Linked DNA regions of Diceros bicornis minor. The protein of the gene in region 4 purifies or fractionates together with the protein of the main gene of each other region. This does not show direct contact. Links are inferred from orthologs where the notes say so. Each region holds a gene or a part of one and is shown on either strand. Other genes may lie near its edges. The genes, in order: SIVA1, XAF1, RAC1 and XIAP.

Region 1 (7,353 bases), on a different chromosome or scaffold from region 4:
CGGTTAAGTGCGCACGCTCCGATACTGGTGGCCCGGGTTCGGATCCTGGGCGTGCACCAATGCACCGCTTGTTCAGCCATGCTGAGGCGGCGTCCCACATACGTCAACTAGAAGGATGTGCAACTATGACATACAACTATCTACTGGGGCTTTAGGGAAAAAAAGGAGGAGGATTGGCAATAGATGTTAGCTCAGAGCCGGTCTTCCTCAGCAAAAAGAGGAGGATTAGCATGGATGTTAGCTCAGGGCTGATCTTCCTTAAAAAAAAAAAAAAAACAGCCAGTTATTTTACCAGCGAAATGAGTTTATTCAGGAATAGCAAAAGAATTGCAGTTTGGGATATGCATGCTATGGCAGAGCATAGACAAATCCAACAACCAAAGGAGAAGAATGTTATTTTATAGGGAAAAAGGAGGAAATTGGGAGGGGTTGCTTTGAAGGAAAGTCCATCTGAGAAAAGCAAGAGTTCAGGGTGGTGACGGTTGCTCATTGGCTGAGCTGCTGGGGTCATCGATTTCTATTTGGGATGCAATATACATTTCTTCCTATAATTGATGATTCTTTTGTATTGAGGACTTGTGTTAGGGTCTGTAATGACTATTCTCCTTTCCTGTAATTGACCAAGAGTGGTACCGCATGGGAGATCCCCCTTCTGGCCTCCTGACTCCGTTTTATTTATTTATTTATTTATTTTTAGCATTTCTTTTCTTTTCTGTTTTTGGTGAGGAAGATTCCCTGAGCTAACATCTGTGCCAATCTTCCTCTATTTTGTATGTGGGTCACTGCCACAGCATGGCTAAGTAGTGGTGTAGGTCCATGCCTGGGATCCAAACCTGTGAACCTGGGCCACCAAAGCGGAGCACACCTAACTTACCCACTACACCATGGGGCTGTCCCCTGACTCCATTTTAAATGAGGTTTACCTATATTAATTTTCACAGTATATATATCACACCAAACTCTTAATCTCAGGTCCGTGTGCCTGATGTGCAGTAAGCCAATCACTGAGACACTGGTGCTTGGAGGTAGAGGAAGGTTTATTCAAGTTGGCCAAAACAAGGAAGGAGAATAGGTTCTCTCAGATCCACCTTAACAAAACAAGGAAGCAGGGGGACTTTATAGGGCTAAGGGGCTTGGGAGGTGGAGTTTCAGGAAAACAAAGGGGAAGTCCGTGTTTCTTTCACTTCAGATAAGACCTTGAACAACTAGACTTCTTGGTGCCAGTGGCAGCGGGGGTCGGGTCACCTGGTGGTCATAACTTCCTTAAAGGCGTTCTTTTTCTTCTACCAAACAAGCTCATAATCCTTGTGACCACTAAGTCACCCCTCTGGTTAAACAAGAAAACAGCAAATTGACAAGCTATAATGATGTGTGATCTGTGAAGCAAGCATTTGGGCTCAACAAATACGTATAATGGGGATTGAGGTTCTTTATCTAGGTTTTTCGTGGGTACTAACTTCTTTTCGTCTGTGGCTGTGTTGGGAATAAGGGTAAAGGGTAACCATGTTCTTATGGAGTATTTACAGTAGCCCTCAGGTACCCTTCACATACACCACATTTTCTTTACCCATTCGTCTGTTGGCAGACACTTAGGTTGTTCCCTGTTGTCTTGACATGAGTACAGCCATGTTTGGCCGCTCCATTGACCTATAGCCACCAGCACACAAAGAAATACAAAGTGCTTTCTGTGTGGTGGGAACTGGCCTTTTCCCGGAAACTGGCCTTTCTCCCACGGAGAGAGTTGCAAGTTGTAACATTTCAAGGCTCTTGGAGCGTCGTAGCTCGGAATGGACTGGTCATCTGTGCCGGGCTGAGACGATAACCAAAGAGAACAATGCATGTACACAACTAGTGGGCTGGGACGTTAGCCAGGGGGCTCAGTGCACGTACGCCACTGATAACTATTTTGTGCATGGAAACACTAAATGCTTGCTCTGCAAACTCTGTAATTGCTTACTCTGAAAATTACTGATGGTATAAAAACTGCTGGAAACTGAGACCTAGTGAGAGTTCCACCTGTGGAAGGGACACCTTGCCCAGGACGTGTGATCCTTGCCCAGCCGCGTCGATTGACAGGGCTCTCCCGGCAGTGGGGCGTGGATGTTGTGAGTAACTGATTTGGTGTGAAGTAATTGATTTGATATGAAGTAATTGATTTGATGTGTTCTCTTTTCGGTCAACCTGGTGTTTCTCTTTCCGGTTGATTTGTGTCATTTCTCTTCAGCCGATGTGGGTGTTTTCCCTTTCCAGTCAGGCTGATGTTTTTTCCCTCTTAATATTTGACCTATTTGGATCTGTTTGCAGACTGTCGCCTTTACTATCCTCTATATAATAAAATATACCTTCGGTCCATTTGTTTGGAGTGGAAAGTGTCTTTTACGTCTCCGATCGAATCCCCGAACCTTTCGTAACACCTGTCTTGGCTATTGTGAATAGTGCCACACTGAAGGTGGGGTGCAGATATCGCTTGGAGATCCTGTCTATTGCCTTCATATACCAGAGGTGGGATTGCTGGATCACATGGTAGTTCTATTTTCAATTTTTTGAGGAACTGGGAAGTAATTAAGTTTTAAAGAGCTCATACAGGTGGGCTCTAATCCAGTAGTACTGGTGTCCCTATAAGAAGAGATCAGGACACAGCCACGCACAGAGGGACGACCGCGTGAGGACACAGGGAGAAGACTGGTGTCTGCACGCCCAGGAGAGAGGCCTTGGGAGGAACCAGCCCTGAGACACCCTGACCTCAGATCTCCAGCCTCCAGGATGGGGAGAGAGTAAGCGTTTAAGCTGCCCCATCTGGGCACTTGGTTACGGCTGCCCTAGCAAACTAATACAGCACTGAGTGTGGGCCCCCGACACATACTTCTTAAACTGAAATTAGATTGGGATGTAAGAGATGACAAGATTCTCTTTTAATCACCACGTTTTGCATCTATTTGCTGTGTCTTAAAAGATCCTAAGGCAGTTTCAAATCCGAACACAAATCTTAAAAAATCCCCTAAAACTAAAAGCAAGACTCCCGGGCATTCATCGATTTCCGGGCTAGGACAAACCAAGTGTGCGTCTCCGCACACGGGGCTCTAGAACCGCGCACCCTCAAGTCGTCTCCCTGAAACAGGGCAAGCACGATGATGCCGGCGACGCGGCGACGAGCCCCCGAGGAGCCCCCAGCGGCCTGGCCCCCCAGGAGGAGGGGCGCCCCCCGGGAGGGAGGCGGCGGGGCGCGGAGCACAGGCCGGCCCTGCCCGCGCCTGTCGCCGCCGAGCACTTTGCCGGTGGGACGCGGCATCGTGAGTGACGCCGCGTCGTGCGTGACACGGGTGGCGCGGCGTCGCGTGCGGCGTGGACGTCGCGTGTGAGGCGGCGTCGCGTGTGACGTGGACGTCGTGTGACGCAATATCTTGTAAGACGCGGACGTCGCATGTGACGCGGTGTCGCGTGTGACGTGGTGTGCAAGAGCAAGGCATCCGGCCTTCGTCTCAAGAAGTGCAGGGCACAGAGGGGCAGGCTGAACGACAAGGCCGCGTCCGCCTGGCAGGCGGGAGCCGGGGGTGGGACGCGACGGCACGAACCCGCTGGAAAGCGCACCGCCAGGCCACGGAGGCAAGCTGGGCAGAGAGCGCCTGCGCAGGGGCGACGCGTAGCTCCGTCAGAACACGCCCGGCGCCCGCGTCGCGGGGTCCGGACGTGACGGGCGTGCTCCGCATGACGCGGCGGGGCCAGGAGCGCGGCCGATGACGTGACCCCGGGGCGTTCATACGTCACCCTCCACTTCCGGGAGGGCTGGGAATTCCTCCAAATTAAAAATTAGGAAAAAGTGAATCATCCTAGAATTTTGGTGATTTAAACGAGGAAATATAACCAGTTTCGACAGTTGTTTATGGACTAAAAAAAAAAGGTGGGACACCCCACGCCCTCCTGCGCCATCACGCCGACTCTCTACTCGATGTCGCCCTCGGCCTTTCCCGCGCCGCCGAGCCCCGCCCTCCGGCGCATGAGCCCCGCCCCCGCCCTCGCCCATGGCCTATCCTGCACCGCGCCGCGCGCGAGTCCCGCCCCCGTCCTCGGCCTCTCCCGCGCCGCCAACTCGCCCCGCCCCCGACCTGCCCACTCCGACACTCGACCTAGCCCGTGGCGGTTCCCGCGCCGCCGAGTCGCGTCCCCGGCGCACGAGCCCCGCCCCCGTCCTCGCCCCCGGCCTATCCTGCGCTGCGCCTCGCACAAGCCCCGCCCACACCCTCGCTCCCGGCCTATCCCGCACCGCGCCGCACGCGAGCCCCGCCCCCGTCCCGCGCGGGACTTGGCGCGAGGCTGTGACGTCACGGGTCGCGGCGAGGCGCGGCTGGCGGGCTGCGCCGCTCCGGGCCGCGGCCATGCCCAAGCGGGGCTGCCCCTTCGCGGACGCGGCCCCGCTGCAGCTCAAGGTCCGCGTGGGCCAGAGGGAGCTGAGCCGCGGCGTGTGCGCCGAGCGGTACTCACGGGAGATCTTCGGTGAGTGCGGGGTTGGGCGCCCTCGGGCGACGCGGGCCCTGGGCGGGCGGTCTCCGCAGGCCGCGGCCCCGGGAGCCTGGAGGCTGCGGGACCAGCCGTCCGGCCGGGGCTTGGGAGCAGTGAGTGGGGCCTGAATGCGTCCACGTCCACCCGCGCTGGCCACAGGAAGTGTCCCTGCCCCTGGCGCCCACTGGCCCCCTAAACGTACTGCCTGGGGGCTCTGTCCTGCGGGAGGTGCTCGACCAGTGACCAGCCCTGGTCTCGTTAGCACTAGGATTCCTCAAGCCCAGAGAGAGGTCGGGGAGCGGGACGTCCTGGGTGGAGTAAGCCGGCAGAAGTACCCATTCCAACCTCAGAGGTGTTTGTGGAGCGCGCCCTCCCTGCCAGGCACTGTAGCGCGCGGAGACCTTGCCTGGCGGGAGCTCCCCGGTCCACTGGGGGACCAGCAGGAGAAGGAATCTCCAGAGGTCATCAGGGCAGACCCCCCTGCAGGGGTGTCAGAGGTCTCCTGGAGGAACAGAGACTAAGCAGAACCCTGCAGAGTGAGTAGGAGTTAAGGCAGGCAGAGAGGGAGAGAAGGGGAACTCCAGGGAGAGGGAACAGAGTATGCAAAAGCAAGGAAGCAGGAGAGCGCAGTAGGACTCGGTGTGGCTGGAATGTCCCATTCAAGGTGATGTGTGAGTGTAGTGAGCTATCGGAGGGCTTCTCATCTGGCTTTCTGACGCAGATTTTTAGGTGCATCGATATTATTGATTATCAGTTTGGGGTGACTAATACCCTGAGGCAGCTACAAAGTGGAGTTTACTTACCTAGTGGTTGGGGGCACAAGGTTCACCCCCATGGCCGAGTTAGGAAATGACCTGGCTGTTTGTAATGGAGTGGTGCTGCTGTGCTTTGGGCATGTGGGGAAGAACCCAGCCTCAGGAGGCCCCAGTTCTCTTTCTCCTGCTGCTCCCCCCATCAGATAAAGAAGAGTGAAGCTGTGGGGACTGTGTGCGCCCCCATCAGCATGTTCAAAATGTGTAAACACTGAGCAGGCAGAAAGAAGAGTTAAAAACGAACGGGACTCAGTCTAGCTCTTCACCCTCTCCCTTGACCACATCATCCTGGGGCGTTTACAGGGGCTTGTCACTCACAGGGCCCTGTCAGGGAGAGTGCTGGGCCCCCTGGTCGTTCAGTAATCAGAGCAGGACACCCAGTTTGAACTCATGTGTAACGAATTCCAAGCCCAAACCCTGGCCTCCTTACCTTGAATGGACTAGAAGCCCTTGAAGACAAGCATTAGCAGTCATCACGTGACTGCCCCCATTCCCATCCCATTATAATTCCTTCCTGTGGGAGGAGCTGGGTGTGGCAGGGTCATCATCAGCCACTCTGTTTGAGTTACCTGATAACTGTTTTCCTGTCGATTTCACATAGAGCCAGTAGCTTCTGGGATCTGCACCCGGGCTCTGTTGGGACAAGGCAGAAGAACACAAACAAAGCATTTCTGGGGCTGGCACCAGGCATTTGGTCCTGTGAAAGCCCCTGGGTGACTGACATGTAGTCCAATGAAAAACCACTGCTCTGGGTGCTGAGCAGCCACTTCACCTCCAGGGGTGGGAGAGTGTCCACGGCCCAGAGAGGTCTGGAAATTTTTGGGATACCTTTGTCAGGAGCTGGGTGCTGCCTCATCTTTTGCCAGCAGCTCTGCGGGAGGGGAAGAGGGTGCACACTGCCTGGGGGTCGCAGGCACAGCTCTGAGCCTCCAGCTGTGAATTAGTGCCTCACAGCGCAGAGCTCCCTCTGTGCCATACATAGCCGGCTTGCAGGGTGCTGGGGAGGAGAGGAACAGCAGTGAGGTGAGGCCGCTCATCCAGAGAGCTTTGTGGATAATGAGCAGAGTGACAGAAGAGGGAGCCCGGCTGCAGCTGTAGGGTCCAGAACTTTCCTGCAGGAGGTGGCAGCTGAGCCTAGGAAAGGAGAGGTGGGAGGGCAGAGTGGGGCTCAGCTCACCAGGGAGCAGCATAGGCCAGGGTGACGTGATGACAGAGCACGAAGGAGGCCTCACCATGCCCAGCTTGCAGGACAGACTGGCTATGCGAGGGCTTCCATGCTGCAAAGGTGTAAATGGAAGGAATGATTTGTCTTCCCCAGAGAAGACCAAGCAACTCCTTTTTCGAGGGGCCCAGGCCTACATGGACCACGTGTGGGAGGAAGGCTGTGCCATTGTTGACCTGCCGGAGTCCCCAAAGCCCAGCCCCACGGAGGCCTCTCGGGCTGCACGTGGGCAGATGCTAATCGGAGCGGACGGCCGACTGACCAGAAGCCGAGCCCAGGCCTCTGAAGCTGGTGAGTGAGGCTGACAGCCGGCACTTCACAGCTATGTGCCCAGGATGGATGTGGCAAGTGCAGTTCTCTGCATTTGTGACACTGTCTGCCCAGGAACTTTACCTTCCCGGGCAGGCAGGAGCTGGGCCCAGAGTCTCAGGAGCTGGGTGAACACCGGAAGTCTCCTGACATCAGGAGCCTCTGCCGCCATCCAAGTCTGGGCATTGTGAAACAGCTTCTAACTGCGAGATCAGAAAAGGAGCACAAACCCACCTGGGGGTCCCACCTGCTCTCCACCTGCAGCTCCCCCACACAGTCCCGTCCAGGTGGAACCCTCCCGATTAGGTCCCTGTGCAGTGTTGTGTGTGTCTCAGACTGTCACCCATGCCGCTGGTTAAAAACCACAGTCTCCGGCCCAGCCCCGGGTCTGGGTGGGGCCCAGGAACCTCTTTGTTAACTGGTGGCGCAGGAGCCACGGTTTGAGGCACAGATGCTAGACACACAGGGTGGAGGCCCTGAGGGTTCTGGTGCAGGCAGTCGGGGGAGGAGCTG
Region 2 (6,880 bases), on a different chromosome or scaffold from region 4:
CCGCTCTAATTAACCCAGACACGCATCCTTCACATCCATTCAGGTTGGCCAGTGTTTGCCCACCAACGCACAGCATAGCGCTTCACTGCCTACTAAGCACAAGGCATGTGGGTCCCTCTGGCAGAAAGAGCCTGGTGAAAGAGGTGATGAATCTCAAATTGTCTACACCCATAGTTGAGTGGGGGCAAGTTGGGGCAACAAACAGACAAGCAACTGACCATAACCAGAGACAGAGGAGGGAGGTCCTCTACCAGTGACCGCATTGGAGTTGGACTTGAAGAACTGGTGGGATTTTGATATGTAAGGGAAGGGATGGTGCAGGGGTGGACAGTCTGGAAAGAGAAAACATCTTGGAAGAAAATTAGGGCAGAGATGAAAAAACTCATAGTCCTTTCCAATTCCACCCCCATGGCCCTGTCCCTGATTCCTGCGCTCTGGGACGCCCCACCTGTGCACCGCTCTTTTACATTTCTACCACCCCCCTCCATTCTGGGGGATCCCAGCAGGAGACGAGGTGTGAAAGCTCAGTTTTTTTCGTTATTGTGGATATTCACAAGACTGCCTGCCCCGAGATAGACAGGAGTGCGAGGCAAAGGTCCAAGAGATTAAGGAATTTGCCCAGCTGATGAGGAAGGGAGTCAGGATGCTAACCGGGGTCTCCCCCACCACCAGCTGTCTAACAAGGTGGACCGTGTCTTGCTTAGACACGTAGATCCCTGAGTCAGATCAACCTGTTTTGAATCCCAGCTCTGGCACTCGCTGTGTGACCTTGAGCAAAGTCCTTAAACTCTCTGTGCCTCCGTTTCTATAGGTGCAAAATGGGGCTAATAATAATTCTTGTGCCAGAGCTGTTGGGCAGATTAAAAAAAAAAAATTAATGGAGGCTGGCCTGGTGGTGTAGTGATTCACATGCTCTGCTTCGGCAGTCCGGGGATCGAGGATTCAGATCCTGGGCACAGACCTATGCACCGCTCATCAAGCCACGGTGTGGCAGGTGTCCCATATATACAACAGAGGAAGAAGGTCATGGCTGTTAGCTCAGGGCCCATCTTCCTCAATAAAAAGAGGAAGATTGGCAACAGATGTTAGCTCAGGGCCGATCTTCCTCACACACACGCACACAAAAATTAATGCCTGTAAAATGCTTAGCATAATGCCTGGGACATGGAAAATGCTTAAGCCTTCATTGGCTATTACCTCTTATCCCTCTGATCATTATGATTACTGCCCACTGTTCCTCATTTGGTGCCTGAATTTTACAGTCTGGCAGGAGGCTGGAGCCCGTCTGGCCTAGTCCTTAATCCCATTATCCTCCTCCGAGGGGCCCCCATCCCATCTGCAGACTTCACAAGAATTCTCTCCTCCTGCCTGTGTCATCGCTCCTCACTCATCATTCAGAGCCTTTCTGTTAGCACAGCTGCTTCTGGGGTCTGGGAATGCTCTGAGGACCCCGGGGGGGATCACACTAGAGTAGGTCTATCCAGTGGGCGGATGGGGGGGTATGTAAGCAGCCTCCACATCCTGTTCCCACATCCCTGAAGCACCCCATCCAGCAGGCCACCACCCCTTCTCTTCCGGTGGCCTCCCCTGGGCCTGCTTGGATGAAAAGCTTGTCTGCACCTTGGCTTATGTGGGCTTTCTTGTGAGCTCACCCACAGGGGACATGAGAGCTTGGCATTCACCGCATCCTAGACCCTCCCAGCCTCACTCCTGGGGCCGAGTCCCCTCCATCCCTGACGGGTTCATCGAGGGACAGGGTAGTGATGGGAAGGAAGCTCAGGGCCTCCGGAGATTTCCACCAAATGATCCCGGCTCTCCCCTCGGCAGCAACCCAGCCCATCTTTCCTCCATGAGCACCAAGTGTCTGTCCCCACGCTGCACATCTCTACTTCTGGAATTTTCAATGACGCTCATCTGCCCCCATCCCTTTAGTCTTCAGATGGAAAGCCAAGGGCCAAAGGCTTAAATCACAGCGCTGGCCCTGCAACTTGGAACCAGCCTTTTCCTCCTACACCAGTGGCTCCTGGCTTCTCTGCACGTTAGAATCACCTAGGACCTTTCAAAACCCCACAGTCCCACCTGGACCAGTGAAGTCACACTCTCTGGGGTTGGGCAGGCATCAGTGGATTTCTGTAAGTTCCCTAAGCGATTCCAATGTGTGGACAAGTTTGGAAGCCACTGTCCTCCACCCCAGCACCAAGAGCCCCGACAAATGGCCAGGCCCCAATCTAGGTGCTTTGCGTGTTACTCATCTTTGCTTCATGATTCCTTTTTGCTTTCTGACATTCTGAACATCAGGAGGGACTTCTTCATGTATTAGTGAAAAGCTGCTAGGTATTTATCAGCTGTTGTAAAGTTGTGTATATGGTGTGCTCACTAAAGTTGAAATAAATTAAAATGCTTAGATACATGTGCAAGACTACAATCAAAATTCTCCAACTACACACTAATATCTTAACTGTGTTTATAAACAATAAAGGTGATTATTGAAGCTAATTAAAGATAGGCTTGATTTTTTACAAATAAAATTCTGGGAAACAGAAATACATATTAAATCCTCTTAAAGAATTTCAATATGAAGTATATAATATCCAAATGTTTCTAATGCAGTTGCAATTATCTGCATATTTTTAAATTCTCATTGAGCTATGTGATACACTGTTTCATCATTTTTATTTATCTAACGAATTGCACCCTGCTTCTCCCTGTGAAAAGAACACAGGTAGACAAACAAATCTCCTCTGTTCACTTGATTCAATTATGCACATATAATTTTGGACATGTGTTGCCTTTAACAGAACTTGATTTCTTTGAATCTCAAAACTTTGGGTCAATTTGTCCAGTCATTTATAACTGTCCGGGTCATGGACTCCTTTTGAGTGTCTGCTAAAAACATTGGCTCTTTCTTGGGAAAAGGCACATACATGAAAGCAATTGTGCACACAATTTCTGGGAGCATACAGACTCCTAAAGTCCCCCAGTTCCCCAGTTGAGTCCAAAAAATGAAGAAACAGAAGCCCAAAAGGCTGAGGTCACTCAAGCTGCCAGTTAATCAGGATTCGAACTCTGAGCTCCCAACCCTATGGCCATTGAGGAGAGACAGGCCGGGGGCCACTTTGCCTGGGTTCAAAGCCTGATTCTCCTGCCTCCTGGCTATGTGACGTGTGCAAGTCACATCGCCCCTCACTGCCTCGGTTTCTTTATCTGCAGATGGGGATGATGAAAATAGAAGCTTCCTCACTTGTCTGTCACCCCGTCAGCCTTACAGCCATGTTTGCTGTAATTATTTACAAGTGAGGGAAGAGAAGCTCAGGGAGCTAGGCTGTTGCCCTAGGTCACCAAGCTACTGTGTGATGTGGCCTGAAAGCCTGCAGTCTTGGCACACACCACTCTGCATCCCCAATTCCTTCTGGACCCTGTTTTCAAAGTCGTCACCACCTAGGACCAGAGGAGGAGACAGGAAGTCCAGGAGCTGCTCTCAGGAAGCAGCCTTCCAATTCAACACAGCAAGCCATGTCTCTCCAGCCGAGGAAGGACCAGCAAGAGGAACAGGAGAGGGGAGTTCTGTGGAAGTGTTCTGTGGAAGGGGATAGAGATACTCAGAGGCAGTGAAGCCAGCCTGGGTGAGAGGAGGGGCTGCTGCCCAGGGGAGGCCTGGCCTCTGGCTCCCTTCCTCGAGGTCGTAGAAATGGTCAGTGACAGCAGCACGGGGTGACAGCACAGGCAGGCGGAGGCAGTGGGGGCAGGCTAGGCTGGCCAAGCTACAGACGGGCTTCCTGGGAGTGTCCAGCTGCAAGAACCTTGGAGCAGCCCTGGGCTGGGAATTCTGAAAAACCCCTCCCTCCCCAGAGCTGTGGGCCGGGTTGTGGGAACACTTTCAGTTTTGTTTTCTAGTCTGCGAGAAACAGAAACTCAACAGGAAGACTGCGGAGACCAGAAATGGAGGGGGCCTTCCAGGCATGCAGGAACTGGTAAGAAGTGGCTTTCCCTAGCTGTGGGCCTGAGGCTGGCTGGTGAGAGGGGCAGCAGGACAAGGCGGCTTCTGAAGTGAGGAGAAAGGGTCCGGACATTGCTATGGGTGGGACGGGGTGGGCACTGTGCCCCAGGTAAGAAGGTTTAGACTCAGTGGATCTCTGAGATGATGAGATGGCAAGAGGTGGGCAGCATTACCTTAATATCACTGAACCCCGCCCCCTCCCCGAGATATTTTAGACTTTCTGGGACAGTCCTAATTCAAATAGCCAGGCTAATTGTCCCTGCTGGGCTACTCAGGCTTGTCAGATCTTGGGTCCTAATTTGTGGTTCTGATCACCAAGTCTTCACACCGGTCTTTGACAGAAAGGGGCCCACGGAGGTTCTCCAGGACCGTTCCCAACCTCTCCTTGAGAGGGAGCTGTGGGGCGGGGTGGGGTGAGGGGGACAGAGGATCCTTCCCAGAGAGCTTTGCTCCAGACAGACCCTCCTGGCTCCCTGGTGTGTGGACCAGCTCAGGAAGAAGAGCAGAGGGGACGGGGCAGGGAGAGCAGAGAGAGAAAGGGGCCAGGCCAGGCAGGGGGCAAGAACAGAGGAGGAACGGGAAAGTGGAGAAGGCTTGGTCCATCTGGGCAGCGCAGAAGCCATGAGCTTGTTCAGATCAAGAGGAGTGAGGCTCTGGCTGCTCCCCTCTGGCCACATCCCCTGTGCCAGGGCCTTGGGGGTGCAACTCTCATCCTCACTGGGGCTTTAGGGCTGCAGCCTCTGAGTTTCCTTTCTCCCAAGCTGCCACAAGCAAGAGCTGATGGAAATGAAAGGAGGCATTTTGCAGTGAGGAGGAGGGTTAAGAAACCACCTGCCCGGGACCCGGGAGGCTCAGAAGCTTCTGTTCTTTGGGGTCTTCAAGAAGGGCCTCGGGATCTCTCTGAGTTGCACGGGTCAGCCTGGAGGCAGGGCATCAGTGGAGGCCTCAGCTCTCGGAGCCGTGGGAAGCTCTCGCTGTGGAGATCCTGAAAGCCGGTGTTGCCCTTGCAGGGGGCGTGGGCGTGGCGGGGCTGGGTTCCCAAGCAGCCGTGTACCACGCGGGGGAGCACTTGAAAACAAGACAAAATACTGGAAGGAATTTGATATTTGTTCTTTCGCTTTTCAAACAGCTTTACCAGGGTACGATGGACATAAACTGCATTTATGGTTCATTTTTGAAGTGTACTATGTGGCGCATTTGGCACGTGTATATCCCCATGAAGCCATCACCACAGTCAAGATAGTGAGCCTGCCCACCACCCCTAGGTCTCCTCAGGCCCCTGGTAATCTCTCCTCCTGCTCCCTCTCACCCAGCCCCACTCGATCCGGGCAATGTGAGAGCTTTGTGGAGCGTCCTTACACTTATTTTATGATTTTGTGTTGTTCTGAATGGGGAGCAACATGGGGAGGGGGCATCATCATCATGTTTTCAATGCTTGAGGCCTCGAAGGATCTTAACCCAGCAGCCCGGGTATGAAATATGACTCCATGTTTTATGCCAAGAAGTCAGCTTGTTTTCCTTCCCCCTTTGCTCCTGCAGCAAAAGAAGCATGGCCCCTGCCCACTTGGCCCTCCACGAGGCCCACTGCCTTCTGTTCCTGGTCCTCTGCCCGGAGTGCAAGGGACCCGTCCCCCTGGCAAAGAAGGAAGAGCATTGTGAGAACGGGCACCAGCAGGTGAGGAGGCAGAGGTGGAGCGCGGGGAGGCCAGCCAGAGTCTAGTCCTCGCTGCAGTAACTTGCTTGGCTGGTAGGGGCTAACCATTTAGCCCCTGCACGCCCCAGCCCCCGTCTGTGACGTGGAGATGGTGACTCTGCCTTTCTCACACTGAACTGAGTCTACCCCGCTTTTCCCATTCCCAATCCTTTCCCTACAGGCTGATGGGTTCGGCCAAGACAAGGGGTCCCTGTTTCAGAAAAGGTTGAATGTTCTTTTGAGATTTGTGAAGAGGGGAAGCAGGAAAGGAAAGTTCTAGAAGGCAGTCATGGCCAAGGCCAGTCAAAGGCTGACTTTTCTTTCCTGCTCTTTCATGTCAGTCCCTCCTGGGGTCCCTTTTCTGTCTTTCTGATTCTCAAGCTCAGGCATCCATTTCAACTCTGTGGGTCCCACAAACACTTCTTGCACACGGGCCCGGTGCTGCAGAGAGCCTGAGGAGCCACACCTGATCCCCACCCCCGAGGAGCTCACAGACCCGGACCTAAAACACATGAACTGAGGCAGATGTGGGGAGAGGCAGCAAGAGCTGGGTGGGAGCTGCATTTCTCTCTGTGTTTAGGTCTGGTGTGCGATGTGTCAGCAGAGCGTGCAGAAGCACTTGCTGGAGTTTCATGAGGTGAGAGTCCAGAGTGATTTCTCCTTAACCGCCAAGCAGCCAACCTGGGAGGAGAGGAAGGGCGAGGAGGGGCCAATAATCAAGATTTCCACTTGACCTCTCTCTTCTCACCCAAGTCGGCGCGGGGAAAAATGGAGAACTAGCCCGCCACAGGAACACAGGTCCTGCTGTCCCCTAGATGCTGGTCAGAAGGGCTTGCCCCGGTCCATGAGCCCAAGAGAGCTGTATTCCCAGAGGAGAGTGCCCCCTCTAGCACTTCCCATCGGCTTTCTCTTATTGGCCTCAGTTCCTAGGGAAATAAGCAAATATCCCTATCCTGACCAACAGGGCTGCAGTCACTGCAAGCCAGTGACCATGCCCGTCCTGCCTGCCTCCCCGCAGGCCACGGAATGCCCAGACCGCCCTGTTGAGTGTAAGTTCTGTAAGCTGGCCGTGCGCCTCAGCAAGGTGGAGATCCACGAGCACCACTGCGGCAACCGGACAGAGCTCTGCCTACACTGCGGCCAGCCCATCATGCTCCGAGAGCTGGCCCAGCACACGGACGTGTGTCGGG
Region 3 (7,403 bases), on a different chromosome or scaffold from region 4:
GTGTGGTTTATGGCCACAAAGTTTCCCTGCTCCAAAGTGGGCTGGTCATACAACAGTCACCATCCCTGGCGGGGAGGGTGTTAGATCTCTGCTGTGCTAGATCTCCCGTTTCTGCTTCTCATAGCTTCTTTTGGTTTATTTCCTCCTACTGGAAGAACACTTGTTCCAGTAGCTTCCTGGGATATGGTGTGTGGGAGGTAAAATTTTGGAGAACTTACTTGTCTGAAAATGTTCCTATTTTACCCGCCCACTTGATCAATAGTTTGGCTATGAGTAGAATTCTTGGTTGAAAATTATTTTCCTTTGGAATCTTGAAGGCATGGCTCCACCAGTGTAACTGCTGGGAAACTTGAAGCCATTCTATTTCCTGTTTCCCTATGACTTGTGTTTTCTCTTTGAAAGCTTGTAGGCTATTATCTGTCCCCATTGTTCTGAAGTTGCACAATGATGTACTCTGGTTGGGTCTATTTTCAGTCACTGGGCTGGCACTTTCCATCAGTAAACTCCTGTCCTTCAGGTCTGGGAAATTTCCTTAATGTTTTTGTGGATGTTTTCCTCCTTTGCTTTTTCTTTGTTCTTTCTTTTCTATTATAGGATATGATGGGGATGGTTGGACCTCCTGGGCGGCTTCTCTAGTGTTCTCACCATTTCCTATTTTCTATCTCTCCACGTCTTTTAGGTTTTCCGAGAGATTTCCTCAACTCAGCGTTCCAACCTTTCTTTTTTTTTTGGTGAGGGAGATTGGCCCTGAGCTAACATCTGTTGCCAGTCTTCCTCTTTTTGCTGAGGAAGATTGGCTCTGAGCTAACATCTGTGCCCACCTTCCTCTATTTTGTATGTGGGATGCTGCCACAGCATGGCTTGATGATGCATCGGACCGCGCCCAGGATTCGAACCTGTGAACACTGGGCCGCGGAAGTGGAGTGTGGGAACTTAACCACTATGCCACCAGGCTGGCCTTCTATGTTCCAATCTTTCTGTTGAGTTTTTCATTTTTGCTAGCTTGCTTTTGTTTTTGTTTTTTTTAATCATCTGGATGTTCCTTTTTTAACAGCACTCCCTTCTTATTCACGAATGAATTATAGTCTCTTATCTGAAGACAATGATAGCTTTTTTTTTTTTAGGTTTCCTTCTCCTTGCCCTGTTTTTGTTTTCCCCAAATTTATTTATTTGGATTATTATTATTATTTTTTTTAATTTTCTTTCTTTATTTTTTCCCCCAAAGCCCCAGCAGATAGTTGTAGGTCATAGCTGCACATCCTTCTAGTTGCTGTATGTGGGACGCGGCCTCAGCATGGCCAGAGAAGCAGTGCGTCAGTGCGTGCCCGGGATCAAACCCCGGCCGCCAGCAGCGGAGCGCACGCACTTAACCACTAAGCCACGGGGCCGGCCCTATTTGGATTATTTTGATTTCTAGCTTCCATTCTGGAGTTTTTCCTCATATATCTTTTAATCCTTGGTTGTCTGATCAAGGGTGAGAAACTAAGAGTTAATGGGCAGCTCAGAAGGAGTGGGAGGCTTCCTGGAGCCCCCTCCCCATGTTGACATGTGTTTGGTCTTTCCTCCTGGGCTGGACAGGTTCCCTAGAGAAGAGGCCCCTGACCCTCCACCCTTCTATTCTCAGGGACACTGTCAGCAGGAGCCATGAGGGAAAGGGTTGGGGAGGGTCAAGATTCAGCATAGGGCTACTAAATCCCTTCATTTTTGCTTTGGTTTCCAGGCATCCAAATACCCACTAGTTTACCCCCTCTAGAGAGGAAGCTCCAGTCTTTTGTAGGGGAAGGAGAAGGCGGCCACCTCGTCTGGGGCATGACAGGAGGTGATGTAGACTGCCTGCTGCTGCTGCTTCTCAGCTTTCACCCCATCTTTCTTATCCTCCTCTCCTTTCCACCCCCCTTCCATGGGTGCCAGGTGCTGCCAGTTCCCAGCCCTCCGATGATTCTCTGGGGGTAGATCTGGTGCTGATCAGCTTTCCCACTGCCAGTCTAGGTGGCTACATCAGTTACAACCAGTCTGTCCACACATTCCAGTGTCCAACCTCTGTTGTCTCCTTCCCTGTTCTTTCTGTTCTAGGATTATGTCTTTTAAATTCCTTTTCTGAAGTTTTAGCGGGGTTTTGGGTAGAAGTGAAATCAAATACTTGCATCCAATCCATCATGTTAACCCGGGAATGAATATCAAATGTTCATTTGCCTATTATGCATCTCCCCCACTAGAACGTATGTTCTCTGATGGCAGGGATCTGTTTTGTTCCTTTCACATTTCCAACACTTGGACCCAAATAAATGATCGACCTTGAATGAAGGACCTAAGTAGGGTATATGATTGCATACATAGCAGGCACTTGATAAATAACTGTGTAGCACATTCAGAAACACACATAGTTCAATATTTGCTTTTTTAATTTGAACTTAACTTTTTTGGACCATGTGTTGCCATGGGGCACATTACAAATAGACACTCAAGGCCAACTTTCGAGAAGCTTTAAGTTAACTCAGTTTTAAATTAAAGCTGATTTTCATATGTGGGTTGTACATTAATTGTGTTATTTTATAGTCACAGTCAAACCTCTTGTATGGTGAACTTTCATTTTATCAATCTAGAGAAATAATGATCTGAATATGGTTGTGTCATGTGTTTGCTCAAAAACTCATGTCATATCAGAATAAGTCCACATTCAAGGCAGTCTGTAATCCAGCCTGCAATTACCTGTCTGGATTCTAGACCTGGAGCAGGGCAAATGCTTGCTCCCTCTGCGTCCCACCTGAGGATGGTCCTGAGTCCCTAATTTCCAGGACTTTCTTCTCTCTGTGGAAAACTCTTTTCTTCTTACTCCATCAAGACCCACCAAAAATCCTACCCAGACCCATCTTTCAACTAATCTCTTTGATGAAAGCTTTTTTATTATCATGAATATAGTTTTTTGCCTTCTAGTAAACACCATATTTGTACCCCACTTAGAGCACTGAGCACAGTGGGCCTGATATCCTGGCAACTGTGTCCCCATCTCGTTCATTTCCTATGAGTCCCTTACGCCACAGCAGCACTCAAATGTTTGTTCAGTTGGATTAAATTATTGACCCAAGGCCTCACCCTTTTATTTGCTCCTGGTCTAAAAACATGAAAGTAACTACACTTAGTAGTTTAGGCTTGTCATAGAGTCACTGGAAATTTCTATCAGCAAAGGGGACACTGTTGTTCTCCTATCCTTGAAATTTCAACTCTTCTTTATGGGAGATCGTTATGAACAAAGCAAAAAGGAGGTGTCCTTTGCCCTGGGAACATGTTTATTTTGAAATAATTGCAAGACAAAAATGTTTTTAAAAAAAAACTTGTGTGGAAAAGGTCTGATTTCAGAAAATTGTTACAATACTGAGCAACAGAGCGCGTTATAGGAAGAGAAGGCCTACAAGATGAAAACATCATGGGAAATCAACTCCCCTGGAGGGTCCACTCGCTAACAGAGTTGATGGGAGTGAGCACTGGTTATTACCTTGCAGGAGGACAATGCAGCAACACGTATAAAAAGCTTTAGAAACATTCACGCCTATTAACCCAGTAGGAAACGTAGTCTAAAGAAATAGAGCTATAAAGATTCTTGCATAAACTTGTTCATCCCAGCATTGCTTCTCAAATAGGGACAATTCAACTGTCCAATAATAGAGGAATTGGTTAAATTAAGGTACATGTGCATAATGCAACGAATAGTAAGCAGCCATTAAAAACGTTGTAACGATTCAGCATGATTTCTTACTTTTGTTTAAAACATGTTTGTTATGCACATAAAGAAATAACTGAGAGGAAATATACCAAAATATCGGCATTTCAATGGTCTGCGAACAAACATTATCTCCAGAACTCGGCGCAAAGCAACAGGACATGTAAACGCTCAACGCAGTAAAGACAATTAATTTTCCTGAATGAACATCTCTTATCTCTGAATAATGCTATGGCGTATGGTCTTCTCTTTTTTATAGCTTTAGGTTCCGAATTTTCTAGAAGGACCTCGTCATCACATAAGTTATGGTTCTCACATAAAAAATATAGGTGAACGCCCTTTGCATGGCCTCGGGCTGGAGTTGGTCGGGGACGCGGGGAGCGGGGTGTCTGGAACCCAGAGATCCTGCCAAGGCCGACGCCAGGCCCGGCCGGGGCGGGCTGGGCCCGCGTCTGTCAGAGCGCAAAGATGGCGGCCGGCCCGCCCCGCCGCCCTCCGAGGCGCGCCCAGCGGCTGGAGCCGAGCGCTCCCGAGCGTCCCCGAAGCCGAGAGGAACCCCGGGAGCCGCGCGGGCGGGAGCGGCCCCGCCCCGGAGCCTGGGAGCGGCGGCGCCGGCGCGGGGGAGGGGAGGCCGGATGTGAGTGGAGCAGCCATTTCCTGTTTCTCTGCAGTTTTCCCCAGCTTTGGGTGGTGGCCGCTGCTGGGCTTCGGCTTCCCGTCGGCGGAGGGCGAGGCGGCGTGGACCGCGGCCCCGGCACCCCGCGCCCCGCCGCCCGCAGCCGCGCGCCCGTCCGCCCGCCGCGCCCCGAGCCCGCCGCTTCTCGCCTCAGCGCCCGGCCGCCGCCGCCGCGGCCCAGCGAGCGGCCCAGATGCAGGCCATCAAGTGTGTGGTGGTGGGAGACGGGTGAGTGCGGGGCCGGGCCGGGGGCCGGAGGACCGGGGGTCGGGCCGGGCGGGCGGGCGCGCGCCACGGGCTCGCGTGGGGCCTGGGCCTCTGCGGGGCGGGGGGCGCAGGCCGCCACCCCTCCCCGGGCTCGGGCGGCGCGGGCCTGGTTCCCGCTGGTTTTTTTTTTTCGGTGGGGGAGGGCACCACCGGTCGCGGCCGGAGGGAAAAGTGAACTCCACCCTCCCGCCTGCTCCCCGCGCCGCTGACCGCCGGCCAGGCCGAGCTCCCCCAGCGCCGCCCCGCCGCCCTCCCGCGTCGGCCTGTGGATTAAGTGGGCTTGCAGCGTCGCCTTGTTACGGATCAGGACCCTTCCTTGGTTTTTGTATGAACCTCTCGAGCCCCACTGAGAGCGTCCGAGGGTGGCGCCGGTCGGGTCGGTGATATTTGACGAATATTTGCACGGGCTGGTTGGGTGACCCTTCACTGAGTTACTGGGGGGTGTCTTCCACTTGTACTGCTTCGCCACTTTTAGGATTTTTTAAATGATCATTTTTGCTATTTCCCTGGAGAAACTTCTAAGATTCTCACTGCGAGAAGCTGGGTGTGATTGAGAACGTTCTCTGAACGTGGTGTGGTCATTGAGGAAAAAAAAAGAAAGAAATTGCCTTTCGATTCATGGGTTAGGTATGGGATGTAGCAGAACAGGCTCCCGGAGCCGAGCTGCCCTGTGACTCAAGACATTTCTTTTCATGCCTGTCCGTGGTGGTTACAGGCCCTCGAGGAAGACAAGACTTGTCTTATGCACTTTTTTTCTCCCATAGAAACAAGAATCTCAGTGTAATCCGAGCAAAATTGTGTGTCTCAGCGTTGCTCGAGTAGTTGGGCGTTAACAAGGAAGCTCCAGGAATTACTACCAGTTTCATCAAACTCAGAATGCAATTGGTCCATTTTTTGAGTCTTGTAAAGTCGAAGGAAGAGTTCTGGCATCACTGTTCCTTTTGATTAATAGTCCCCAAACTTGTCATTAGGACTGATGGTGCTTTTATGCCTCTCAGTGAATTTGTGAATTCTCAGCTTTTTTCGGTCATTGTAAGTTAGACGTTTGAAATTGTTTCTCTAACTAATTCAGATGCAGGAAGGACAGTTAGACAACTTATTTATTAAAGATGCTGGTCTGTCGGATTTGTCAGACTGACAAATGTGAGGGATTATTAACCCTTCATGGTTCTATGTAAATAACTAAAAATTGTTAGTTTCACCTACTTAGGAATATGTGTGGTACTTGGTTTTTTTTTAACCTTTTAAAAGGCAGCTTTACTTTGATGTGGGGGAAAATGTCTAATTAGCTGGTTTAACAGTGAAGTCGTTTAAATGAACTTTTGATCCTTTTGCATAATGAATTAGCTAAACACGTCACTTTGTCTTAGGAACATTTTAAATTATCTGAATTTCCTTTAAAAATTAAAAATGCTTAATCAATAATGCTTAGAATATGAAGTAATACTAGTTTTTTAAAAAATCAAATTGCTGATAATTCAATATCTAACCACACACAGTATGTAATATTCTTACTTTAAAATAACTAACACATAAGCACAACGGATATATTTAGTGTATTTAATAGTACTTACAGATTATGGACCTCTACTGTTTGTATTGGCTTGTTTGGTCAAATACTTGTTGAATGCCTACTATGGGATCTGGATCCTTCCTTTAAATCCCCACCTCACCACTTATGGGGAAAACCTGAGGGTATAGCTCATCGCCCCCAGGAGAGGTGCCCCTAGGGGACATTGTGAGGATTAAACAAGATGCTAGATGTTAAGTGCCTCACAGGTGCCTGGCCCCTGCTGAGTAAGTGCCAGCTGCCAGTATCATTATTTCTGTTTCTGTTACTCTGAGGCACTGCTAGGCTCTGTGAAGGGAGTGTTAGGCATGAAACACAGTTCCTGGCCTATTCAGTCAGTTTTTTGATACTATATTTGACACTGACGTTGACTAGGGCTAAGCCATATTAGAAGTGAAATGTACCTTTACAAAAAAAAATTTAAGCTGTATTACTTTATTTAAGGGATGGTATGTAGCAAACAATACTTCAGTGAAAAATCTAGATACATAATTTTCCATGCCAAAAATATTTTTCTGCTTTCCCTCGAATAAGATATATTCCTGGTGACATAGTTGGAATGTTCTTTATTCAAAAATTGTTAATGCTGTAAGTGTGGGTCTAAATTTTGTGGGGTGGAGAAGTCAATGTTGTGGATTTTCAGGCAATTAAGGGCACTTGAAGCAGTGAAGGCAAACTGAGGTTCTACAAATTGCAAGCTTCCTTATTTCAAAAATATTCTTAGAATTATGGTTAAAAGCTATGTCATAACCATATTATAACTACGATCATTCAGCCTATATTCTTCTAATGCATTATTTGCTATATAGCAAATCATTTGGCATTGAGTATGAAATATGAGATAAAATTTGATACTTTTTTGTTCTGTTAATCTCTCTGTTGATTCTAATTCTGTTAGTCCTTCCTGAACACACGGACTGTCGCTTTTGTTTGGGAAACCTCTGCCCCAAGATTTTTCTTTCAGTTTAACTTAGGTAAAACAGCATCTCACATATAAACAATCATTATTAATAGTGTTATTTTGGTTGACTAGAAGGCTCCCTGATTTCACTCCAGATTGGGCTAGTGGTCTCTCTAGCCCTATGTCTAATTTACACGTTGCTCTCCAGGAATTTTTTTGGTTGAGCATGATAAATGCCTTCCATGATGTCATCTTTATAGGAATGTACACC
Region 4 (7,021 bases):
GACACACCATGACAACACCTCGACCTTGACATTGTTGTTGGATTATGGGAGTTTTGCAGACTGACTCGATTGTGTATAACCATAGGAATAAATTAGTATATAGAAAGTCCAGATGGGATTTTCGATTAGCTTGAGAGGAGAGTGTGCTCTTCTGTCCCCACTCCAAACAAGAACAAGTCTCTTCTGTATGATTGGGTCCCTGGAAGATAAAGGCAGAGAAGGGAAAGGGAGGGCTGGCTGAGCCCCTTGCGTTTTTCAGGCACAAGATAAGGGCAGGCATCTTTATGACTGCTCAAAGAGGGGAAGTGACAGTCGCAGTCTTTGTGGCAGCAAGGCGGGAGTGGAGTTTAGGGATCAAGATATCGGAGCAGAAGTCAGGAGACTGAGGGGCAGGTGCAGCCGATAGATGCTGTTCAAGATGAGTGATCTTCACAAAGGCTGTTCTCTGATAATGAATTAAGAGTAATCCTGTGCAGATGTGTACCCCTTCCCACCAGAAGAAGGTACATAAAACTGAATGCTCGGAGGGCAAGGTGTGGGAGTCAGTGCTCACCTCTCCTTCCTTCACTCGAAACAATTCTGCCTTTTATCTATTTTATTTATTTGGGCTTTCACTTATAACTGCTTTTGCAAAAAGTGTTCTAGTGCTAAACCTTTGCTGTTTCCCTCAGCAGATAACTACACATTTTACTTTTCATACACTCCAGCTGCCATTGAGGTGTGGTGACCACCCTTGAAATTCTTCTCTGTCTACATCTCACGGCCTTTAGCCTCAACCAAAAACAATTACAACAAAACATCATTGTACAGATAAGAGTAACCTCTCCAGGGATTGTGTTTTTCTGACTTCACACCTCTATGTGTCCCTGTATATAAAACCTAGACACCATACCCCAGATATATCTGTCTTTGCTGTTCACACCTCCAACCAACAATTCATCCAACAAGTATTTACCAAGGGTCTGACATGTTTATGAAATTTTTATTCACTCACTCAACAAATATCTTCTGAGTACCTACACTGTGCCCACTGTTCTATGCACTTGGAATAGATCAATGAACGAAATAAAGATCCCTGTCCTCTTGGAGCGTATATTCTAGCAGGTGTGGGAGGGAGGGGATATACAATAAATAAACGTAATAAATAAGAGAACCATATAGTATGTTAGAAAGTAATACAGGCCATGCAAAAAGGAAAAAGGAGAGCAGGGAAGGAAGATTGGGAGTGCTAGGAGAAGTTGTAATTTTGAATGTGGTGGTGATGTTAGGCCTTATTGAGAAGGTGACAATTAAGCAAAGACGTTGAAGGAGGTGAAGGACAAGCCATGGAGATATCTGGGAGAAGTGTTCCAGGCAGAGTGAACAGCAAGTGCAAAGGCCCTGAGGCAGGAAAGCTAAAGGAACAAGGAGAAAGAGTATTAGCAGATGAGGACATCAAGGTAAGAAGGATCCTGATTGTGTAGGGCTTTTTTATTAGTTATCTATTGCTGGGTAACAAATTCCCCTAAAATTTAGCTATTTAAAACAACAATACACAGGAATTCAAGAGTGGCTTGGCTGGGTGGTTCTGGCTCTGGATCTTAAGAGGTTACAGTTATCTGAAATCCGGGCCTGAAGAATCCTCTTCCAAGGTGGCTCACTCACATGGTTGACAAGTTGGTGTTGGCAGTGGGTGGTATAGGAGGAGATATGGAGAAGGGGAGGACTTAGTTTTTCCCTGTGTGGGCCTCTCTACATGCTGTTTGAGTATCCTCATGACTTGACAGCTGGCTGACCCCAGAGCAGCCAATCCAAGAGAGAGCAAGGCAGAAACCACAATGCCTTTTATGACCTAGCCTTTTAAGTCACATGCCATCACTTCCACTGTATTCTACTGGTTACACAGGTCAGCCCTGGTTCATTGTAGAAGAGAACTATCCAAGGACACGAAGAGCAAGAGGTAACGATCACTGGAGATCATCTTGATGGCTGGCTACAACAGCCTTTGTGGGCCCTTATAAATCTGTTGCTTTCACTTTGAGTGAAATGGGGAGCCATTGAAGGGATTTGAGCAGATAAATGACAATGATCTGACTTATTAGGATAACTCTGGCTGCTGTGCGAATAGACTGGAGAGGGGCAAGGATGTAAGCTGGGAGACCAGTGAGGAAGCTTTTATGTCCGAGAGAGATGGACTAGGGCCATAGTGGTGTTGATGAGAATTGGTGATATTCTGAATGTATTCTGAAAATTGAGATGACAGGATTTGCTGATGGATTGGATGTGGGAAAGGAGAGAGGGGAATTAAAGATGACTCCAAGCGTTTTGGAGGAATTACAAAAATGAGTTAGACATAGATCTTGCTATAAATGAACTTACAACATAGACGAGATAAGGCATATACACAAGTAGCTATACTACATGGCAGAAAATACTGTGCTCCGTAACACAGGCACAAATTCAAGTGCCAAATAAGATGGAAAAGTTTTGGAGATGGATGGTGAATGTACATAATGCCACTGAACTGTACACTTAAAAATGGTTAAAACAGCAAATTTTGTTATATACATTTAACCACAATTTTTAAAAGATGTGAACAAAACCGAAAGAAAAATTCAAGTGTGAAGAGAGTTCAGAGGAGGAAGAAGAGATGACCTTTGGCTAAGGGAAAGCTTTGAAAAGGGGCAGTTGCTTCACCTCACAGAGTGAGCAGTTTGAACAAATTAGTGGAAGGCAGGAAAGCTGGGGATGGGCAGGGCACAGTGAGTAGTTCCACTTTGTTAGAAGATAGGTAGGGGGCCCAAGGGGAGAGTGAACAAGAAGTCAAGAAGTTTTAACATTATTCTGGAGGCAGTGTTGAAGGGTTAACTCAGATGGACCTCTGAAGGTTGGACTGCCGGGGACCGGTCTAGGGATAGAGAGGCCAGTTAGGAGACTGGGTAATGGTCAGATCCACCTGTAATCTGACAGATCTAGATTTGAATCACTGTTCCAGCTCCCACACATACTAGGGCTGTGACTTCGGGCAAGCCACCTAAACTCTCTAAACCTCAGTGTCTTCATCTGTAAAATGGGGATAATGATAGTTACATATTTTATAAGATTGCTGTGAGAATTAAATGAGGTAAATATTTGCAGTTATTATTATTGCAATAAGTCATATGTGAGATTCCCAGAGCTGTGACAATAGGAGAGGATCAGAGGGGATAATATCTTAGTGAAAGTCTAAGAACCAAAACGAAGTCTTTCCTCTCCTTCCAAGTTCCCTTTTCATGAAGGGCAGCATCATTTGAGGATGCAGGTGATACTTACGATTCTCCCCTTGAAATGAGACATTCTCATTCAGAAACTCTCATCTCACTACACTAGCCTGTAAGGGAGCCCAAGTTTCTAAAACAAAATTCATCTGACAATCCTACAGCATATTTGAAATAAATCCAGGATGTGATCAGCATTGTATGTACACAGATTTCCTTTGTTTCCTTTCTTTCTGCTTTCCTTCTTCCTTATTCATTTTCCCTTCATCTCCCAATCCGCTTTTGCCCCTACTGAGTGTCTTCCTTTCTTTTTCCTTTCATCCTTCTCTCCTTGGAAGTGGATCATATTGTCATCTCAGTTCCCCGTTTACTAGCTGGGCGCTATTGGGGTAGGTATCCTCTCTGGGCTTCAGTTTCCACTGTAAAATGGGTTTAATAAGAGAATGCCTACCTCACAGAGTTGTCAAAATTACAACAAATAACACGTTATATGCCTACCACAGCGCCTGGTCCATAGCAAGAATTCAATATGTTCGCTCTCTTTTTCTTTTCATCCTTTTACCTCTAGCATGCCCCTACTCATCAACCCCAGGGCCCAGCAGGTAGAAACCGTGGGAAAAAACGCCTCGAGGCTGAAGGAGGAAACGCGTGAGCTGGAGGCGGGGACTGCGAGGTGCCCACTGCGCCTGCGCGCCCGCTCCGTCAGGTTCTGGTTGCCAGCTGGGGGGTCGGGCGGCCGTGGGGAGCTTGGTTTGTCCTGGCTGCCCCCCCCCTCCGGCCCGGGGAAGTGGCAGGACCTCGGCGGCGCCCTGGGCGGGCTTCGCGCTCATCGAGGGACGCGCGGGCCCGGAGGGTAAGCTGGAAAATGGCGGAGGGGGAGGGAGGGGCTTTGCAGGGCGGGAGGCTGGCCTCCTGGCGGGCGCAGTGGGAATGAAACGGCGGGGGCCCAGTCGCGCGGCCGGGGCCGGGAGACGGACGGACGGCGCGCGGGGGCTCTTCGAGGCCCTGCCGCGACCGCGCTTCGAGCGCCCTGCCTCGGGGCTCCTCCGGGGAGTGGCCGGCTGTTGGGTGCGAGTGAGGGGGACGACGCGACTTCCGTTTCCCTCTAGGCTGGGGCCCGGCCGCCGACGGGAGTTGGCGTTTCCAGATTGGGACTTGGGCCGCCCCTCCTCCAGGACCCTCCCCTCGCGACCGCGAAGGGCGCCGCGGGCGATCCGGACCGGCTCTCCGGGCGCAGTGGGTACTGCCCGTGCGGGCTTCCTCCGCCCCCCTTCCTCCTCCCTCCCCTCGGGCCCCGCGGTGCGAGGGAGGGCGAGGAGGCTGCCCCTGCCCGGCGGGGCTGGCCCGACCGGGGCACCTTGCCCGGGTTCCGGGGACTGCTGAAGGCAGGCGTGAGTGGGTGGCTTCAGGCCGGCCGGGTGCCTCCCTAAACCCGTGACCCCTAAGGTAAACCGAGTCAAAGAACTTTTTTTTAGTGATCAAAGGGGCCGCCCCCTCCCCACTCCCCATCTGATGCCTGTGGCCCGTACGGGGCTGGGTGGAGTGTGTCTGGCGAGGGCGTGTGAAGCCGAAAGAATAGGAGCCAGAGAGCTTCCGGAAGAGGAAACTAGCTAGTATCTAATTCTTTGCAAGCTTTGCTGCCCTAGTCATCTCCCCAGCATATTCTGTGAGTAAAACAAAATTCAATCTAACTTTCAGTTTCATTATTTGAACTCCATAATGCACTTAATTGTATTCTTTTCGAAGGAGGGGAAGTAGTTATTGCAGAAACTAAGCAACAGTCTTCTCCCCCTCCAAAAAAAGAAAAACATCAATCAAAGCTTTGTAAAAACCTATCAGATTTTAATAATCTACTACTTTGCTTTCAAATATAATTGTGTCACTAGTTCTGTCACAACTATGCCTTGATAGTTAATGACGCATAGAAATTTACTCTTGTTAAGACTGGAGGTTGCTATAGTGTGTGTTTCTTCTCTTTTTTTTTTTTACTTAACATTTGTTACAATCAGTTCAAGAGAGCACTATTATTACAGACGGCCATCTTAGAATTACAACATTTTAGAGTTGGAGGGGATGTTAGTCCAACTCTCTTATTTTACAAAAGCAGAAACTAAGGCACAGGAAGATTTCATGGCTGGCCTAAAGCTACTCGACTATTTAGATTAGAACCCGGGTGTCTGGCTCCTTTCTCACCACTCTCTGCGAAACTGGTCTACATAGCCTCCAAGCAAGAAAATTAAATGTATTCAGCTCAACGCACATTTCTGAAGCCTATGCCACTTTGTGCCATACAACTGCGCTACTACTCTCAATATATTTAACATGCTTATGAAGCCAGTGCCTGAGATATTTTTCCCTATCATTCAAGAAGTGGCAACAGTTCAGGTTAAAAAGATTTATCCACATGCACACATGTATACAGTACTTGTATATGCTCAGATAATTTCTCGAAGGATACATGAGAAAACTGTTAACAGTGGTTACTTATAGGGGCTAGAGAGAGAGGTAGGAGACTTTTTACTTTGCACTTCACATGTGGCCTAATGTACTGTTTGAATTTCTTACCATAAAGTATTGGTTTTATAATTAAAAACAAGTTGTAAAGTTCACACGCATATGTATATCAATGTAAATAAGTATATGTCAATGGTATGTGTCTATGTATTTATATACATATATGTATTTATGAATGAGTAGTGGTTTGTGTTGTGAAATTCAGTGTGGTTCATGTCAGCCCAGCTGGCAAAGCAGGCCTGAGTATTGGCTGCTCACGTTTCTTCTTTGGTTTTCTCCTATTGGTCCTAATGGAAGATGGTAAAAATAATATGTTACTAGTCTTTACATATTTTTAGAAAATGTGCTAAGCTTTTGATTATCGAACAATGTAGCAAACTGTAACATTCAGCATATCAAATTGGACACAATAAAAACTGAATGTAGAATCTTTGTGGATAAGAATCATTTTAAAAAATTAAGGCTGGAAAGATCCCTGGTGATTAGTAGTTCAGCTCTTTTGTTTTTATTAAGTTAATTAGGACTCAAAGAAAAAAAAAATGAATTGTCCAAGATTATATATCTGATTATTAGCAGAGCTTGGACTAGGGTCAAGGTGCTAGTCCAGTGCCCCTTGTACTGTAATTTGCTCCTTGTACACCTGTAATTTTATTGCTTTCTTGTGCATTTGATGACTCCAACTAGGTGGACAAAGTAATGCTGACTAAAGGTTAGTCAGGCCCATTTCAGTAGATAAGAATTACTGTAATTAATGTACTAGTTAATTTGTATAGTGCTTGAAATATTTTAGTAATGTAAATGTTCCCTTCACATTTGGTTGTAAACGTTAATTTATTTAGTAAATCCTTTGTTTATTTTATAAATGCTTGGAGACCCCAAATATGAAATAATGATATTTCACTGTTTTTGTTTGGTCTCATATTTCAGTCTGGTAGCTAGTGCTAACAGGAAAAAAAGGCTATTATTTAGTATTTTTAAAAAACATTTATTGAGCACCTACTATATGCCAGGCATTGTACTATGTGGTAAGGTTCCAAAGATGAATATGGCAAAATAGATGCCCTTGTTCTTTTGAGGCTGGGAGATTATCGTGAGCTATCTGTTCTCAAGCTTTATCTCTGTGGTCTAATCTGGTAATAGTATTATAAAATGTAATCTGTAGCACTGTTTAAGGTCATTGTTTGAGTAGATTTGAGGAGACAAAAACAGTAATGGTAAATAAGAAGTTGATATTGAATTGAACAAATATTATTTTTGTATCTTAGAGGTCA

The links.
Region 1: the proteins of XIAP (region 4) and SIVA1 purify together in Homo sapiens (affinity purification with western blotting; 3 studies listed by BioGRID). This does not show direct contact. The link is inferred for Diceros bicornis minor from reciprocal best matches to the Homo sapiens genes XIAP and SIVA1.
Region 2: the proteins of XIAP (region 4) and XAF1 purify together in Homo sapiens (affinity purification with western blotting; 5 studies listed by BioGRID). This does not show direct contact. The link is inferred for Diceros bicornis minor from reciprocal best matches to the Homo sapiens genes XIAP and XAF1.
Region 3: the proteins of XIAP (region 4) and RAC1 purify together in Homo sapiens (affinity purification with western blotting; 3 studies listed by BioGRID and IntAct, with this or other methods). This does not show direct contact. The link is inferred for Diceros bicornis minor from reciprocal best matches to the Homo sapiens genes XIAP and RAC1.

The regions. Positions count from the first base shown.
Region 1 is NC_080763.1:49,286,980-49,294,332, forward strand, and holds the start of SIVA1 (apoptosis regulatory protein Siva), read left to right. Parts: upstream 1-4,335; 5' UTR 4,336-4,373; coding exon 4,374-4,491; intron 4,492-6,627; coding exon 6,628-6,822; intron 6,823-7,353. UniProt on the Homo sapiens protein: Induces CD27-mediated apoptosis. Inhibits BCL2L1 isoform Bcl-x(L) anti-apoptotic activity. Inhibits activation of NF-kappa-B and promotes T-cell receptor-mediated apoptosis.
Region 2 is NC_080757.1:13,158,863-13,165,742, forward strand, and holds the start of XAF1 (XIAP-associated factor 1), read left to right. Parts: upstream 1-3,870; 5' UTR 3,871-3,939; coding exon 3,940-3,971; intron 3,972-5,536; coding exon 5,537-5,672; intron 5,673-6,270; coding exon 6,271-6,327; intron 6,328-6,708; coding exon 6,709-6,880. UniProt on the Homo sapiens protein: Seems to function as a negative regulator of members of the IAP (inhibitor of apoptosis protein) family. Inhibits anti-caspase activity of BIRC4. Induces cleavage and inactivation of BIRC4 independent of caspase activation.
Region 3 is NC_080765.1:8,894,345-8,901,747, forward strand, and holds the start of RAC1 (ras-related C3 botulinum toxin substrate 1), read left to right. Parts: upstream 1-4,401; 5' UTR 4,402-4,587; coding exon 4,588-4,622; intron 4,623-7,403. UniProt on the Homo sapiens protein: Plasma membrane-associated small GTPase which cycles between active GTP-bound and inactive GDP-bound states.
Region 4 is NC_080781.1:113,718,161-113,725,181, forward strand, and holds the start of XIAP (E3 ubiquitin-protein ligase XIAP), read left to right. Parts: upstream 1-4,000; 5' UTR 4,001-4,089; intron 4,090-4,345; exon of another isoform or gene 4,346-4,476; intron 4,477-4,711; exon of another isoform or gene 4,712-4,902; intron 4,903-7,021.